Linked DNA regions of Oreochromis niloticus. The protein of the gene in region 1 interacts with the protein of each later gene in a pairwise test. Links are inferred from orthologs where the notes say so. Each region holds a gene or a part of one and is shown on either strand. Other genes may lie near its edges.

The links.
Region 2: the proteins of plaa (region 1) and ubxn1 interact in binary tests that used the Homo sapiens proteins (3 or more experiments, as listed by UniProt). The two-hybrid records come from large-scale screens. The link is inferred for Oreochromis niloticus from reciprocal best matches to the Homo sapiens genes PLAA and UBXN1.

What each region holds. Positions count from the first base shown.
Region 1 is NC_031967.2:11,156,892-11,165,202, reverse strand, and holds the start of plaa (phospholipase A-2-activating protein), read right to left. Parts: upstream 4,349-8,311; 5' UTR 4,251-4,348; coding exon 4,102-4,250; intron 3,706-4,101; coding exon 3,512-3,705; intron 3,405-3,511; coding exon 3,304-3,404; intron 3,182-3,303; coding exon 3,061-3,181; intron 2,788-3,060; coding exon 2,609-2,787; intron 2,449-2,608; coding exon 2,312-2,448; intron 2,109-2,311; coding exon 1,939-2,108; intron 1,855-1,938; coding exon 1,703-1,854; intron 1,620-1,702; coding exon 1,400-1,619; intron 1,278-1,399; coding exon 1,212-1,277; intron 1,118-1,211; coding exon 1,046-1,117; intron 158-1,045; coding exon 53-157; intron 1-52. Other genes in the region: palmitoyltransferase ZDHHC21, read left to right, coding at 6,276-6,429, 6,551-6,649, 6,783-6,894, 7,067-7,205, 7,706-7,822. UniProt on the Homo sapiens protein: Plays a role in protein ubiquitination, sorting and degradation through its association with VCP. Involved in ubiquitin-mediated membrane proteins trafficking to late endosomes in an ESCRT-dependent manner, and hence plays a role in synaptic vesicle recycling.
Region 2 is NC_031966.2:21,048,011-21,056,321, forward strand, and holds the start of ubxn1 (UBX domain-containing protein 1), read right to left. Parts: upstream 4,823-8,311; 5' UTR 4,688-4,822; intron 4,682-4,687; exon of another isoform or gene 4,514-4,681; intron 4,021-4,513; 5' UTR 4,015-4,020; coding exon 3,956-4,014; intron 3,832-3,955; coding exon 3,778-3,831; intron 2,968-3,777; coding exon 2,828-2,967; intron 2,224-2,827; coding exon 2,133-2,223; intron 2,039-2,132; coding exon 1,847-2,038; intron 760-1,846; coding exon 708-759; intron 605-707; coding exon 482-604; intron 125-481; coding exon 1-124.

The DNA.
Region 1 (8,311 bases):
TTAAAGCACAAGTTATTCAGCGAGAGTTAACAAACCACACTGAAATGCTTACCAATGATCTGAGAGCTGTTGGCTTGCTCAAAGGTCACACCATCAGTCTTGGGAAAGTAGATGTTGGTTGTTTGTCTCAAGGCTGATGAGGAGTATGCACCGCCTCCTGCAAAGCAGGGAGACAGAAAGGAAATATAATATTAAAGAAGAAAAGCGAGCATGTCAGCATTCTCAGAGGTCTGCTCTGTGCTTTCACGCAATGTTTCCTACTGCAGAAAATAAATGCTATGATGGTGTAAATGTTAATAATTAATGCTAATATTAATTCAATGGCCAACCTTTTTATATGAATCTAAATGTACAAAGTAATGTTACTAAAGCCTTGAAATAATGGCACACTCCAGTATCCACTTTAGATTCGCCCCTGCTAGCTGCTGTGACAGAAAGCAGGACGGCTGATGACAGCCTTCAGTAAGCTGCTTAATTTAAACATCACATCAGATTAAGTTAACAGCTAATCTGCTTAAACACTTTTATTTTAACTTCTGTAGCTTTTCACTGTGTAAGACAAACAGTGGTGGATGGGAGCAGCTCCAAAGTTCCCTTTTCTTCACGCTAGAGCTTGTTGAAAAGCTGGTTTCATTCAGGACTTCCACCATCTTTTTCCTAGTAAAGATTTTTACTGTGAATACAACAACAAACACTGCTGTTTTGGAGACTTAAAAGCCTTTTTCTTTCACACCACTTGAGCTCAGTCTCGGTAACAGCTCCACCTCTTTAAGGTGTGTGTAGACAGACCTTGAGCTGCACGTTAAACTATTTATGTGGTGATGACTGAGCTCCACAGTTGTGGATTATATTAGGTACCGAAGCAAGAACTGTGTTCTTCAAATGACTCGATAATTCACTGCAGTCCTGGAGCAATTTAGTTAAAGGCAAAAAAAAAAAAAGAAGAAGAAAAAAGTATGAGACACAGGCCTCATAACTCCATCAAAAGGAACAATTGGGACTTGTATCTCCCAAGTCCCAATTGTTCCTTTTGATACCAAGTTACCTGTGAAGGGATCCGCTACACCAACAGGAGCACCTGGGTTTGGGCCTGACCCTGGGATGTAGCGACCAGCGCCTGTGAAGAAAAAAAAAACAAAAAACACAGCTGTGAAACTGCACTTACAGATAAAAGTTCTGACTATGAACACCTCTGAGTAAACAAACTATACCTGTAAAAGGATCAGCTCCAAGGCCTGCAGTATCACTGGAAGAACCAGGGATATACCGAGCTCCTCCTGTCAAATAAAGAGGTGAAACACATCATACATCCTATCTAAGATTCCTTAATCGTTCCAGTGAAATTGTTCTAAATGTACAGCAAAGAAGCCAGCAGCAGTATCCATCTTTTGGACCTCACCAGTAAAGGGGTCACCACCAGCGGGCTGGGCTGGTCCCACCACGTGCCCTTTGGTGTTCTCAATGATAAAATTGGCAACCTGGTCAAGGAACATCGGGCTGAGGTCATTCTTCTGCAGAAAGTTGTGCGCTGTCAGCCAGGGGTCGTCTGTCACATTGTAAGGCAGCTTCATGGATGGCCCTCCCTCATTCACATCAATGCTGAATACATAATCATACTCCTGCACGCAGATGGGGGGGGGGTCACATTAATGACAGCTCATATGCGACGTCCCGCTTACTGACTCTGAGCTTGTAGCCTCACCTTTCCTTCGTACATGACACTCTTGGAGGTCTGTTGGTTTGAGCCTCCGACCACGTCTCCGATTTTCATCCAGCGGCCATCACTGACGCTCCACTGATATGCCTCCACCTTCTGTCCATCTTTGATCAACCGTGTCTGTCCATCGCGATTCCCTGTTGTAAACAAATCCACCCTGATGCACAGAGAACAGCTTCACCGTTTTATATGACAAAATAAATAGCAGCCTGCTGCATTACCAGGCTCGTTCAGGTGTTCTCTTCCAGGAAGATCCTCCAGTTTGATGTCACCAAGATCCCCGGTCTTGGGGTCGATGGTGGCTTTGGAAAGTTCATCTTCAAAGGCCTGCAGGTCCTCTGCACTAGCCATGCGGTCCTCAGCTTCCGTGAACACGCGGATAATGCCATCGCTGTGGGCAGAGGAGCAGCTTCTGGTTTAGCCACAGAACTACTTACTGCTTCATTCAACATTTGTTTGAATGCAGGAGAGATGCAATGAATGAGGACAGTGAACACTGTCATTAATGGGCTTTTAAATATTTACGGTGTAACATGATCAAGGAAATCACTATGACCTGATTGCATATTAGCATGCCAAAAGCAGCTCTGTTACCTGGCTCCGACTACTATGTCACCATTAGGTAAAATACAGCAGCACCACACAGACTGAGCAGGCAGGCGGATGGTCTGAGAGCACTCTCCTTGCCTCCATATCCTCAGACTCCGGTCCTCCCCTGTGCTTATAAAAATCTAAGAGGAAAAAAAAAATAAGGGTGAGGGCAGGGTGTAGGAAGTAGCTACCATCTCAGAATGTGAAAAGAACTGGAAGCCGGCTGAATAAACCACAGAGCACCACTGACTGCTGGTTTCAAGTCTCTCAGTTCTATCCCTTGTTTTTAAATATTGATACAATCAACAAACCTTGGCTATTGGGGAAGACAGCTAAGCTGTAGATGTAGTTGGTGTGGCTGTAGTAGACCTGTACGCATTCGCCTGTCACCAGCCACTTTCTGATACTTGCGTCATTGCTACACGAGAAGAACTCAGTGTTGCTGATCACTGCCAGGCCTCTCACACAGTCCTCATGACCTATGATGGAAGGGAAATATTTTTTAACCATAACTTAACCCTAAAAATATGCAGTTATCATTTTAAAATTTTACTTTGACAAAGTTATGGTTTTGTCCAATATCCTACAATACTGTTGGTTTATATTATTAACCACATAATCAAAGACAGACAACCAATCATATTAATCATCAGCCAGTCTACTTTTTGTATACACACAGATCTGTTTAAAATGCAAGGCCCAACCCCCCCCCCAAAAAAACCCAAGTCCAATATACACCTGCATATCCTCACCTGTAAACGTCTTCTCACATCGTCCTGCTTTCCAAAGCTTTATGGTCTTATCTGCTGATCCCGACAGCATAAGGCCTTGTTCAGGTAAAATAGCCACTGCCCACACTGCTGCAGTGTGGCCCTGTAACAAAATTAACAAGCTCAAAACATGTTCTGTCAATTTTTTTCAAACTCAATTTTTTCAAATCAATTGAGACACTAATCACCATCCAAGCAAGCTGAAAAGTGTAGAGGACCGCATACCTGCAAGGTCATCATGCACTTCTCATTGAGCCAGACCTTGGCTGTAGTGTCCCAGGAACCACTCAAAAGTGTCCCAAACTTCCCAGACGACAGAGTGCAAACTGTGGAGGTTTAAAGTTAGAAAGCCAGGAACCAGAAACACTGTGACGAGTAACAGGTCAAGCAGTTAATCCTCACTACTAAAAACAGCGAGGAGAGCACAACTCACCTGTATTTTTGTGACCCTTGAGAGTGAAGATGGGCTGCGGTCGGTCCAGTGAGAAAACACAAATATTATTATCGTTCCCGCCTGTAGCAACAAGTCCCCGAGGGTATGTTTCACTGGGTGCGATGATGCATACACAGGATACAAAATTTGAGTGTCCAGACATACAGTGCATTTCTGTGAAGCCTTTGTCTGAGCTGTCAGAAGGAGAAAAGGACGAAAGTTAACAATTATTACTGAGGGAAGAAGTTAGGTTCTTTTGGCTCTTATTTGTAAGATGGCTAGGCAAATTAACTGACAAAAATAAACACTCCGAATCTGTTTCAGTTTCGTGTTTCGTAAAAGAACAGTTGCAGCTGAATGAATGACAAAGCTAATTTGAGCAAACGTTAGCACTGTGCTTTTTGGCTAACTTAGCTACTAGCCATTTTTACAAATATGAAATCAGAAATAGTAAAATATTCAGTAAGGCGTGATTTGCCTTGACACTTTTCGTGTCCGGACAAGTCACTCTCTTTGCGCAGAGTGACTTGTACCCTGAAATTAATCGTAGCCAGGCAGCAGTTTCTGAGCAGCAAGCTAGCGCTAGCTACCTGGAGTTTGGTACCCAGACTCTTCCGGTTCGGTCTCTGGACACCGACACGAATGCTCCCTCTGGAAAAACAGTAGCGGCGAGTCCCCTGACGTCCATCTCGTGGCCCGGGATTGAACACCTGAGTTTGTACGAATTGGATGATGCCATTTTTGCTTCAACAGCACAATGAAACTACTGTGGCACTGTTACGCTATGCGGCGTCGCTGTCAACAAACACCAGCCGCTATTGCTAGCGGAAGTTGAATTACGTCATTATTAGGATTGACGCACCTTTCAAACTAATGTTTAATTAATTATGTTGAATATTAATTGTCTTACGTTTATAACATTAACATTAGAATAGTGTTTTTCCAACTGTATTTTAGGTTTGTATTTTTGAATATATTTTATCAAAATGTATTGATCACAGTTGACCACAGGGCGGCAGCAGAGCGAGGCCGCCACCAACCTGCTACAACAGCAATATCAAGCTGCCGACTTTGCGGAGTGAGCAGGAAACTAGAAATATCGACGTAAAAAAAACAGCTCAAACGTAAAAAGTGCCGTTGTTTTAAAAAATCATATTAACGTTATCTGTCACGTCAAACGAGAGTTTAATGTTAATACCAAGCTTTTATGTAGACTTAGGACATCTTAATAAACACGTAAGTCTCGCCAGCAAATGACGTGATTTTTTTTTAATCAAATCATTGCTTTTATGAATAATTTAACATTTTCGGTATCTTGGTTTGTTTTTAGTTTTCCATGATTTCGTTTTACGTAATATGAAACAGAATACCTTTATTAAAAATTTCAATGCTTCCCATTAAATCCCCGTTTATACTTAAAGGAAAAAATGCAAATAATGCTTGTTCCGGTTTTATTTTTTAGACTGGAAATGTGACCGGAAGTGTGACTTTTTTTTCCATTGCAGGTAGCAAAACAGGTCCCACAGAGGCGATGAGGAAGTAGTCTCACTGATTCGTTCGCCGAATAGGACGAAAAAGTAAGTGTCTTTTCATTTTGGCTCACGAGAAGTATATTTGACAATAAACGCGTTGGTTCATATCTACGCGAGTGAAGCACAGCAGCGTTGGCCCGTAGATGTTAGCTAACACAGTCAGGCTTATAGAACCCAGCCCATCACGATTGTGAGTGTTTTCAGCACTATGAATGATGGAGCAGGCGAGGCTTTACAAATAACGAGGCTCTGGTAGTGGTTACGTGGTTATGAGGGCTGTTCGTACTGTGTTCTAGCAGTGTTACTGTATTCGATAATGCTGATAATAAGATTCAGTGTAAGGTTAGAATAGAATAGAATAGAATAGAATTCAACTTTATTGTCATTGCACATGTCACAGGTACAGGGCAACGAAATGCAGTTTGCATCCATCCAGAAAGTGCTTTTAGCCGTGATATAGATATAATACAATATATATTAGCAATAATATAGATGTGTAAGTATATTACAGAAATGGGTCTATTATGGTATGTTATAATGTACACGGTGTGAAGTATGTTATGAATATTCTATAACTATAAGTATGTACAGGCTGTAGTGAGTAAAAGCTATGTACAGGCTATGAACAGGATATAAATATGAAATAAAAACTATACAGAAATCTGAGATATACAGTTATACAGAAATGTGAACTATGCAAGTTATAAACAGTTGTAGGATTGAAAAATTATCATATGTACAGAATGATATTCACACAGAACTATACAGTAGTGCAGTTAGGATAATTGTGATAGTGATAAAGTGCTAGTGGTTGTGGGTGTGTGTATGTTCAGTCCATGAGTTTAACGTGGGTCAGATGTCAGGAGGCAGAGTTCAGGAGTCTGACAGCTGGGGGGTAGATTGCTCAGGCTATCAGGTGCCTGGTTGATAAACATCTGCTTTGCATTACACAGAGGTTAGGCCTTTGTTTAAGACACATTCCACACAGTATCTGATATGTCCTTGTACGTACAAATCTTATAAAGGTATCCTTAATCCTGCTGTTGTTTAGTTATAGATCTATTATAATGTGCAGGGCAAAATGCAGGTCTCAGTGATGGGTATTTTGCCTGAAACACATCATTTCAAGTAGCTGTAAACTAAAGAACTACACACCATGTTTGTCAGTGTCTTAAATTTGTGTGTGCCTGCGTGCTTGGTACACTGTAGGTTTCCCAGAATTCCCAGCAACCATGAAGCTTCGACTGCACTTCGTGGTGGATCCTATGGGCTGGCTGTGCATCAGTATGGTATTTGGGATCTGGCTCTACAACACTTTTTTTGTTCCCAAACTGGTTCTGTTTCCACACTACAATGAGGGACACATTCCTTGGGCCATTGTTGTTTGTGAGTTTCCTTACCTTTTGTGTTGACACGTGAAAAACTGAAAATGAGTTTCTTTGGAAACTGGAAAAGAATGTGCCCAATCACACCCCATCAGTGGAATTAAAACACTGTATTTCTTTAGGTTACTACATAGCTTCAGGACTCTGCCTAGCAGCGCTGTTCAGAGCTTCCACGGCAGATCCAGGCCGTCTTCCTGTGGACCCACACATACCTCATGCTGGTAAATGCTTTTCTCACTGCTTACCACTTGTTTGTATATGTCCAGTTTGTCTGTTACTCCGGTACCGACTAGCAGTATCAACTCTCTTCGGATTGATGATTGTTACATAGTGTTTGTTGTCTTTGTGTTTCAGAGAGAGAGCACTGGGAGTTGTGCAATAAGTGCAACTTAATGAGACCTAAAAGGTCGCACCACTGCAGTCGCTGTGGCCACTGTGTGCGCAGGATGGACCACCACTGTCCCTGGTAATCATACACGAACACCTACCCTCATGCTTCCATCCATTCTTGTTTATTCAATTACTGAGATTTGAAAGCTTATTTAATGACTGAACATATCATAGCATGCCATGTGTGTCCACTGCTGTGATAAACAAATATGTGATCACTTGCTAAATGCACTTTATTTCCGTTGCAGGATTAATAACTGTGTGGGAGAGGACAACCACTGGCTCTTCCTGCAGCTGTGTTTCTATGCTCAGGTCCTCAGCTTATTCACGCTGGTGCTGGACTTCTGTCAGTACTATTACTTCCAGCCCCTGACAGGACTAGACCAGGTAGGTCCATGGGATTGTTTTTAAAAGTTGGCCTCTACTCATGTCCAGCTTCATAATTTTATTCTCTGCTGTGTAACTTTAAACATATCATTATTTACCTTTTACTGGGCCTCAGTGAAGCCTCTCAGTTCATCCACAGTTTGAATAAAGACTTTTCTTATGATTGGCTGCCCCTTCATATCCAGCATGTTTAAACAGTAGGTGGGTGGGGCTGCTCCATTCACATAGCTGTGCACCTGAGATGACCATATTAGGGATATCTGCCCACACCTACATCACAGAGAGCCAAGAGTATAAAAAATGCCTTTTTCCTACAGCGATTGATGTTCATACTCTGACCTCATTATTTGAAACTTTGGCCATGTTTATTATGAGATTCAGCTACACTAATGGAAAACTATAAACATTCATATTTGACAGTGGGAAAATCAGCAAATGGAACTTTAAGATGATAAGATAAGAGGTTTTCACAACAAAGGGCACTGTTCTCTTTCACTCAGGAAAAGTTCACTACACGTCACGAACTGGCTCTGCTGCGAATCTCTGCGCTAATGGGCGTGGTCATGTTTGGAGGCATGACTTCCTTGTTTTACACACAGATGACTGGCATCCTCTCGGTGAGTACTGAGTAAAGACTTATTTTCTCGTTTCAGCTGACAGTTTAAGCTCTCCACCCATTTCCTGCTGCCATCGTCTTGATGCGATTATGTCTTTACTTAATTAAATGCAGCTAATATTTCCAAGCTAAGTGTTGAATATCAGTTTGTAGGATCAGTAAATGCGTCATTCACAGCGTTATTCAGCTTGTATGTCCTCTTCAAAGCAAGTTGAAGGCAAACAAGAAGAAAAATGATGTAGCAGCTTCAGACAAAACAACATGACATGGTGTACAGAAATAAAACGATCAATGCCAGTAATGCAGCGATCGATAAGAAAGAAACGGGGGAGAAAGTGTGCACACGAATGCGTTCATATTACTATAAACCACAACAGCAGCATGGTCATCTGCCATACCTCTGCTGACATGAATAAATCATTTCATTTATTAAATAGTTTGGCAGGTCTGTGGAAAGATGTTATCTGAAATGTTTCAAAATGAGTTACTC
Region 2 (8,311 bases), on another chromosome or scaffold:
ACAGCAGCGTGAAGTCCTGACCCTCGGGCGTGTTGCCGTTCATCTGCACATAGACGCGCACTGCCGCCAGCGGCTCCTGGGCCTTGAAGACTGTTGTGATGGTCGAGCCGTCCAGCAGACGGACCTGTGAAGAAGCAGCAAAAATTTAAGTACATATTTTTAAAGTTCAACACAACACCAGTTTATTTGCGTTTATAAAAGATGGCCCTCACCGCCCTGATGTCAACAATTAGTCTGCGAAGATCTGCTCTGAACCCTTGACTTGCGTTTTTAGAGGGGCAGATTCATTTTCATATAAAGCCCTAAGCCCTGAAGCACACTCTGCTTATCATCCATTTTATTCTAAACACCCGGTTAGGCCTGCACATATTTTATATGTATTTATCGAAACCTGTGACTTTCTGTTTCACGGGGCACAGACTTCAAACTTTATTAACATATATGCAAAGTAAAATTTTAAAATCAATGATGAATTAGGTACCTGTATCCTGGATTCATCATACTCCTTTTTAGTGGGTGGAGGGCCCTGACTGGTGGGTGAAGACGGACTGGGCTGGGCATTCTGGGATGATGCAGCGGTGCTCGAGGGTGCACCACCTCCAAACTTCACAGAAAAAAATAAGTTCAAGTTGTTCTTGTTTCCAATAGAAGTGGTAGAATAAAGAAATGGAAAATAAACCTAAAATAAACTTGACTTTTAAAAGTACCTTTTGCGCTCTTTCTTCTCTGTCTCTTGCTATCTTCTCTTTAACCCTTTGCCTGTTTGTAATAAAGATAAGCAACACAATGACTCAGCAACCAGAGTTAACAAAGGAACAAAGTTACTTGATCACACACAAGTTAATCTTTATGAATGTGAACATTTTCCAATAGGTAAAGCAGAGATAAAATTATTTCCTGGGTTATTTGTTACCTTTTTTTTTAAAACAACTGAATGTTTAACAAAAAGGGTTCATGAGAACAACTGGTTAGGATAAAAAGTTTGTAGCTTTTTTATAAATAAATCCACAGATTTTAGGCTTGCAATACATTGGAAAACATCACAAAAATCAACAGCATGACTGGTATCTGCTCTTTTGTGTGAGGAGGACCACTGCCAGTGCTCAGCTGAAGTGACCACAGTGAGTTACTTGTGGATGTTTCTCACCAGACTGTCAGAAAATGATTTCACCGAGGGTGAAACAAGGGCTTGAAATCTGTTAGTGGTATCAGCTCACAGCCCAGCACTGTGCAGTTTTATGGCTTTTAACCAGAGAACACCCAAATTCTCTCCACAGATTAAAGAAGCTTCAAATAGAGAACATGTGTCAGGCGTGAAAGAGTGTGGAGACATTGTAGCAAACATTATGATCCCTGTAACATCACCGCGACCCTCATGTCACCCTTGCGTTGTCTGTTTCCGACAGCCTGGTCAGAAACATGCACAAGAATAGCTGTTTAAAGTTGATTCTGTAGGGTCTGGCAGTGCTCCTCCTCACACAAGCAGACACCAGATTCCAGACACCAGTCCTGTTGCTGTGCTGATGCTCTTCTACAGCCCATCCATCTGTCATGAGACTATGCTGGGAGACAATTATCGAGCAGAGTAACATTATCCTATTTAAAAACTAACAGGATGCCTTTTAGCCAAGCTGTATATGAGATGGTGTGATTTGCTAGTCTTGGGCCTGTAAGACTGACAGTTTGTTTTTATGAGAATAAACATGTTGGACATCCAATAGGGAAGCCAAAGAAGTGTCTTTTTGACTGAATGGTTATTAGACTCTATGTACTCCGGTAAGCAATCCTTATCCAAACCTAATTATCACATGTTCTCTAACTGTATGTGTGTTGTTGAAAAACATACCTTGCCAGTTTGTCTTCCATCTTCTCCCTCTGACGCTGCTCAGCGATTTTTTTCATTTCATCATCCTGCAGTTTTTGGCGGATCTGCTGCAGCTCCTGGCCCTGCTTCCTTCGCTGCTTCTCCCTCTCCACCTCTTCTGCCCGCTCTCGCTCTCTTCTCTCCGCCTGCTTCACCCGCATCAGCTCCTCGAGCCTGAAAAACAGACACAGGCTTAAATTACGCACGTGCTTCTATATTCAATATGCACACTGCCAATCAGCAAAATGCACTTTGAGTATCCTCTGACCTCTTGACTTGCTCATTTTTCTCCTCTTCTGTCATTGGCCGTTTGACGCCGTCCTCGGTCTCAATGTAGCCGATGTCTCCACCTGCTATTCCTGAAGCCGAAACAAACGGGCAAGACAACGTGAAAACTTTGACAGCTTACTTCCGACCACTAACCAAAGCAAAACCAGAGGCCCATCTAAAATCAAATACCACAAACCTTAAAACACCACAGCAGTGCCAATGAACCACAACGAAACACCAAGGAAGTGACTCAACCACTTGAAACAACATTTTTGAGATAAAGAGCTAGATAAGATATGTTTACTGTGTGTGCATATTCTGTAGCCGAATTTGGCTGTATGCACACACATACATAAATATATGTACACATATATGTGTATACGATTGACTGGTCTAGCTATCAAAGGTAAAATAGTGTAATTTTACCATTTCCTTTTGGATATACAGCACAGGTGCACACATTCAGTATGAGCACACTTACTGCAAATGTGGCGGTCTGATTGGTCAGATCTATTTATCTGGACCCAAATCAAGTCAAAAAATATTTTTTAACACATGAAATATTCACATGGATTTTACACATCCAGTGTGTAAAGTCCTTTAGAGTAGATACATTTAGGTTGTCTAGTGGTATATTCAATCACACTGAAAATCTGTGGGTGACTTTTCTTTCCTGCCCCTTTAATGACATACCTTCAAAACTTTCCTGCCCCTCCTGACCTTCAGAGCTGTCTGCTGTGCTAGGCTGGCTCTGTGCTTCTCCTCCCAGGACGTTCCCCACTGGCGGCACATAGGGCTCATCAATGTCTGGGTCATTTTCGTGTTCCATTAGCCTGAGGAGAGTACGTACAAAATGCATTACTTTCCAACAGTCACAAAGAGCTTTACAGAGGTCTAGATAACATTTTTTTTTAAACACCCTATTTCAAGTCAAAATGGACACACACAAACAAAGTAAAAAAACACAAACCACTAAAATGTCTGAAAAGATTAGTTTTAAACTGCCTTTTAAATAATACCACAAAGTCAAGGGTGCAAAGAGTGTGTGACAAGCTATTCCAAAGTTTTGGAATGTTAGTTTTCAGGCGGGTGTGAGGAACCACAAACCGGTCTAAGAACTTGGTTTGAAGAATAGGGGTGGAGTAGTAGCAGGGGGACAATCTTGGAGGTGGCTGCACCTCATAAAGCCATAAAAGTGAGAACCACGATTTTTAACTGTAAACTAATCCTGACAGGAAACCAGTGTGACAGCTTTAAAAATTGGGTGATATGAGAAAGTTTATAATGAGTTAAAAGCCTCACAGTATAATCTTGCACAGATTAGATGCGAATAATAAATGTTTCAGTCCGACAAGAAAACAGCGATTTCCAAGTGAGAGGAGATGAAGGCACACACAAGCATTTCTAATTCACTTTTTGAGACAACACTACAGAGTTAATCAATATTTCCTAAATTGAAAAAACAACAGTCACTTTCTCCAATCACCACAATCATATTTACATTGGGAAATGAAAACCACTGGATAGTTTTATGAGGGAAATTGGCATGTGGAGCTGGACTGTGGCACAGGGGTAAGTGATGACAAAATGTTAATGTGTGAGGTTTCAAAGTAGTGTGTTGTTATTCTGAGTGCTAAACTCACCAATCCATGGCTTGCTCAATTCCCTGGTTCCCTGTGTTGGCCACTGCCTTCTCTCTAAAGACAGATTATGATAATATGATAGATAATGTAGACAGTTTCAGTTTCATTTCCTTGAAATCAGCTTCAAACCTGGAATCCAAATAAACCAATATAAATGTGTGCATCAGGGATCACTCACGCTCTGTTTCGATCAAACCCCATCTCCAGCAGACTCTCGAGTGTTGTTAGCTCTGCCATTTTGACCTGAAACAATACAGGAACGTTAACGAGGAGTTCATCGTCTAACTTACCAGTAAAATGCTGTCATCTGATGATGAAAAGAACTCAAAGGACTTCTAACCAAACTAAAGTTAGTGCAAGAGCTTATGACTTTATTTTAGCTGACTAAAGCAGCTACACTGACCACTATTGTCCGAATATAACACTACGTGAATATAAATAAACGATTCCTTTACTAGCAGCTTACCAAAACACAAATTTATTCCCGCTACACATATGCAGTTATTTGATATAATAAATACCATCGTGTTGAGAGCTAAAATTAGCTTTAATGTGGCTAACGTTCAAATTGCGAAAGCTAACTGGGAAGCCTCGCTGGCTAGCACGATTAGAAACAATCAGGAACTCCAATAAGCTCTTCATCACTTGTGCCGTTAATGTTAGTTTGTATACTTGAGCTAAATGCAAACTGACGTGCCAGTTTATTTATGCAAGGAGGAAATATGAGCTAATATACCCAGTGAAGGTAGGGATAGTTAGCTACTCACACATCGGACAGCACCGCTTCACCAGTAAGGAAGCCCACACGGGTCAAACAGAACAACGCGAAATTCACGCTTATTAGGAAGAACGGTTTTTGTAGTCTTAAAATATGTTTAAAAGACAAACAACATACAGATCCTCCACTTACTGGCGACACTTTGACGACGCTATCTTCACGTGTATACACCTTGAGCTTCTACTGAGTTATACTTCAAATGTATGAATAAGCCTCCCTAACATGCAAATAATGAACAGTAACACGTAAGCTACTGCAGGGTTCACCTGACCCCATCTATTCATCACCGCTACGGCAGCATATCAATACCGGGATACTAAAACCATGTCAAATGATACACAATGCAAGGTGTTTACCTCTGAAATAAAGATTAAGTGAATATTAAATCATTATTTCACTACCTCTATTTATGGTTTAAAATGAATATAATTTGGTGTGAAATAGGGTGTTAAACCGGAATTCCCGTCAAAGTCAGTGAGATCAGAAACACATTGAGTGTGTTACTGGTTTAGATGTGCTATTTATAAATGCATCTAACTGGCTTGGAGGAAGAAAAAGAGGCTCTCCCTTTGTAACTCATTTACAATTATTGTTCTCACACTTTGACCAAAGATACATGCAGGAATGAACTGTTTGCAGGAATCACTCACTTTGAGCTTGAGCCAAATGCACTTTACAAATTTGTTTCAGGCAAACACTCTTTGTCTTCAAAGGTCATCTTCAAAACAATAGCGTAAAGAAACACTGTTAATAGAAAATCCTTCAAATCTGGGTCATTTTTAAACGGTTTGTGTTTTGGGGGATACATAAGTTCTTATTATTGTCTATAATTTACAAATCATTTGAAAAAAAAAATCATATATCATCTTGCAGTCACTTCAAAAGTCCAGTCCAGATTTGGATTTTATATATATCCAAGACCAGAATAAACAGTACAACTTGATGGAGTTGGCCCAGATTTTGATTATTCATCAATCGTTTCTTTAAAATAATCTCATAATGTTCTTTCCATTTAGATATTTAATCAGGTGATTTTAATAAATTGCGCCCCAGTAAGAGTGAGTGAGAGAGAGAGAGAGAGGGATATGTACTTTCAGTGAAATGTGTCAGCAGAGGAATTATGTCCACTGGTGATTAGGGGTGGGGGAGGCCTGATGGGAAGGTCAGATGATCTTATTGGTTGCTCTGCTGCATGTATGATTTCATCTCATCTGCGTGTCTCCGTGGGTGTTCAAACACAATGCAATTTGCTGACTTTTATGTGCAGGTTGGGTTTGTTACATATTTACAGTAAGTGTAATGATTAATTTTTCTCTCCCCCACGTAGTCTTAAGCAGCCCTCATTCACGAGCCTACCATTACTCAGAGACTCCGCTCACTGCTGGGTGTCTTGTTTTTTAAACGCTCTTATTTACTATTTATTCGTTTGTCTTTTTTTGCCCCTCACACTTATATTTTGTTCTTTTTTAAATCTGGGTTTCACTTGTCTTGTGTTTTCCTTTCACAATTAATAACTGAAGAAGCTTTGCCTGCAGCTTTTACTGGGTAAGTATTAACTTTTCTTTTGCGTTCTAGAAAGCAAACTAACTCAGGAGATTAACAAGACCAGTTTATTTCACCATGCATCTAATCTACTTGCACACTGTAGGACAAATCCTGTAATATGTATTTGTATCTATGTTAAAATGAGAACAGTTGATCACAGAGGATTTTTTAAGGAAATTAGATGATTCATTTATAATGAATTCAAGTGCCTTCAAAAGCAAACAAGTTCTGTGTGAACATGTGTGTAATTTACAAAGATGTTTGGTGTCATTTCGGTAACAAAGACGATATTGTACCTGTTCAGATAAAAATGATTATAGTATGAATACATTTCAGTTTCTGCAGGTTCTAACTCTGTTGGTTTAATATGTGCTATTTGATTTCCTGACATCACCTTTCTCTGTCCAGACCAAGTTCGTTCTAGTTTCCGTGCTCGGCCTCTTGGTGCACATTATCTGAAGACGCTAATGACCCTTCATAATGGAATTATCTGTTAACAATATATAGCAGGGCGGCCAAAGTCGAAGGAGACAATAGGGTGAAGTTCTCTACAGTCTGCCCTTATATTGCTTTATGGTTCTCTGTGTTTTTTTTTCTTTTTTACAGAAGGAGAGGATTAAAGGTCAAAGTTCAGCGAGGATATTCAGTGAGATTCTGGGAAGAAGATGAGCTAGACACAAGAAAATGATGCTCGCTCCTGTTTACCACTTGTGTTAAAGATCATTTCAACACCTAATATAAAAAGAAATAGGACAATAGATCTTTTGTTTTACTAGGGTTACTGCAACCACTGTTAATTTCTAGGAGCACGTGTTCTTGGAGGGAATGAGCCTGATTTTTATTGGCATCAGAAGGGACACATGTAATCTTAGAGGCAGTAAAAGCCAAGATTAGAGATAAAATAGTGGATGATACTAAGTCTTTATTGGGTGTGGGTGGTATTGTGACATGAGAGTTGAAGTATCATGTGTAATAAAAATGATTTAAGTTCATGTAGTCAGAAACAGATGACCAAAAGAGGGCAGCATTAATTCATATGATTTAAAAGTGGACCACGATGCTGCCACCCCCACCTCCCTTATGCAAACAATACAGACTGTAGTGGTAGTTCCACAAAAATAGGAAAGCCCAGAGGAGTTGTTTAAGGTAAGTTTTGGTTATATTCAGTTTTGTCAACTGAATATACGACAGGGAAAACACTGAAATAGAAGATGCCAACAGAATAAGTGTACATCCAATGCTGTGGTCTGGCTTGGTGCTCTCAGCTGTGTTTTTCTCTGGGTCTCACCAGCTGTAACAGCATCTCCATATGGAAAAACTGTGGCTTCCAGTGGAGCTGCTGTTATCTGTGGAGGGACACCTCTTGTCATGCAAACACTGCTGGGACTCTCTGTAGCTCATGAACGGCAACACTTTCGGTTTCTTGTTTCTCTGTTTAGTTTAGTTTTCGTGGTGATTTATGTGAAGGCTGCAATAAATTAAACAATTCTTGTGAAATCAGTTGAAGTTTCTGCTTCTTTATAAGACTTTTTCATGCATAAAACACAAAGATTAAGATTTGTATGGCTTGACTTCGTGTAGCTTTCTGAAATGAAAACCAAAAGTAAAAGTGAATACAAAAGCATCCTTTCTAGTAAATAGTCAGAAGGATATGGGACTTTCCCTGACACCAGTCAGTGATGGTGATAGACACAAAGGTCCCTTACAAAGAAAATGGCCTTTTGGGGGTTCTTCCTGTAAGCCCTGTAAGTGTTTACAGGAAGATATTGTAACAAGATCTTTTTCAGCTCAACAAACTGAAAACAGAGTAAAAAAATATTCACAACTCAGCCTGAGAACACAATCATTAATAAGAAAAGTCAAACCAAAACTAATTCACTGTTTGCAATTTGATGTAGTCATTTCAAATTATAAGTAACACTAATTCCAGTACAAACACTGCACATAAACACAATATAGTGAATATTAATTCATAGTGAATGTTATTGGAAGCTTCACTGGTTCATACATATGAACAAATGAATGAATACATGCATAACAGTAACACATTCAGCATAATACACTTTCATAGTGGCATCGGGACACTAAGAAAATGTTTAGCATAGTAGAACAATATTAGAGAATAGAGAGGTTGTCTGGTGACACTGCAGTTATAAGCATATGGATTTCACCCAGCATTGCTAAGCCTCAGAGTCGCCTCCTGTTTAAAGG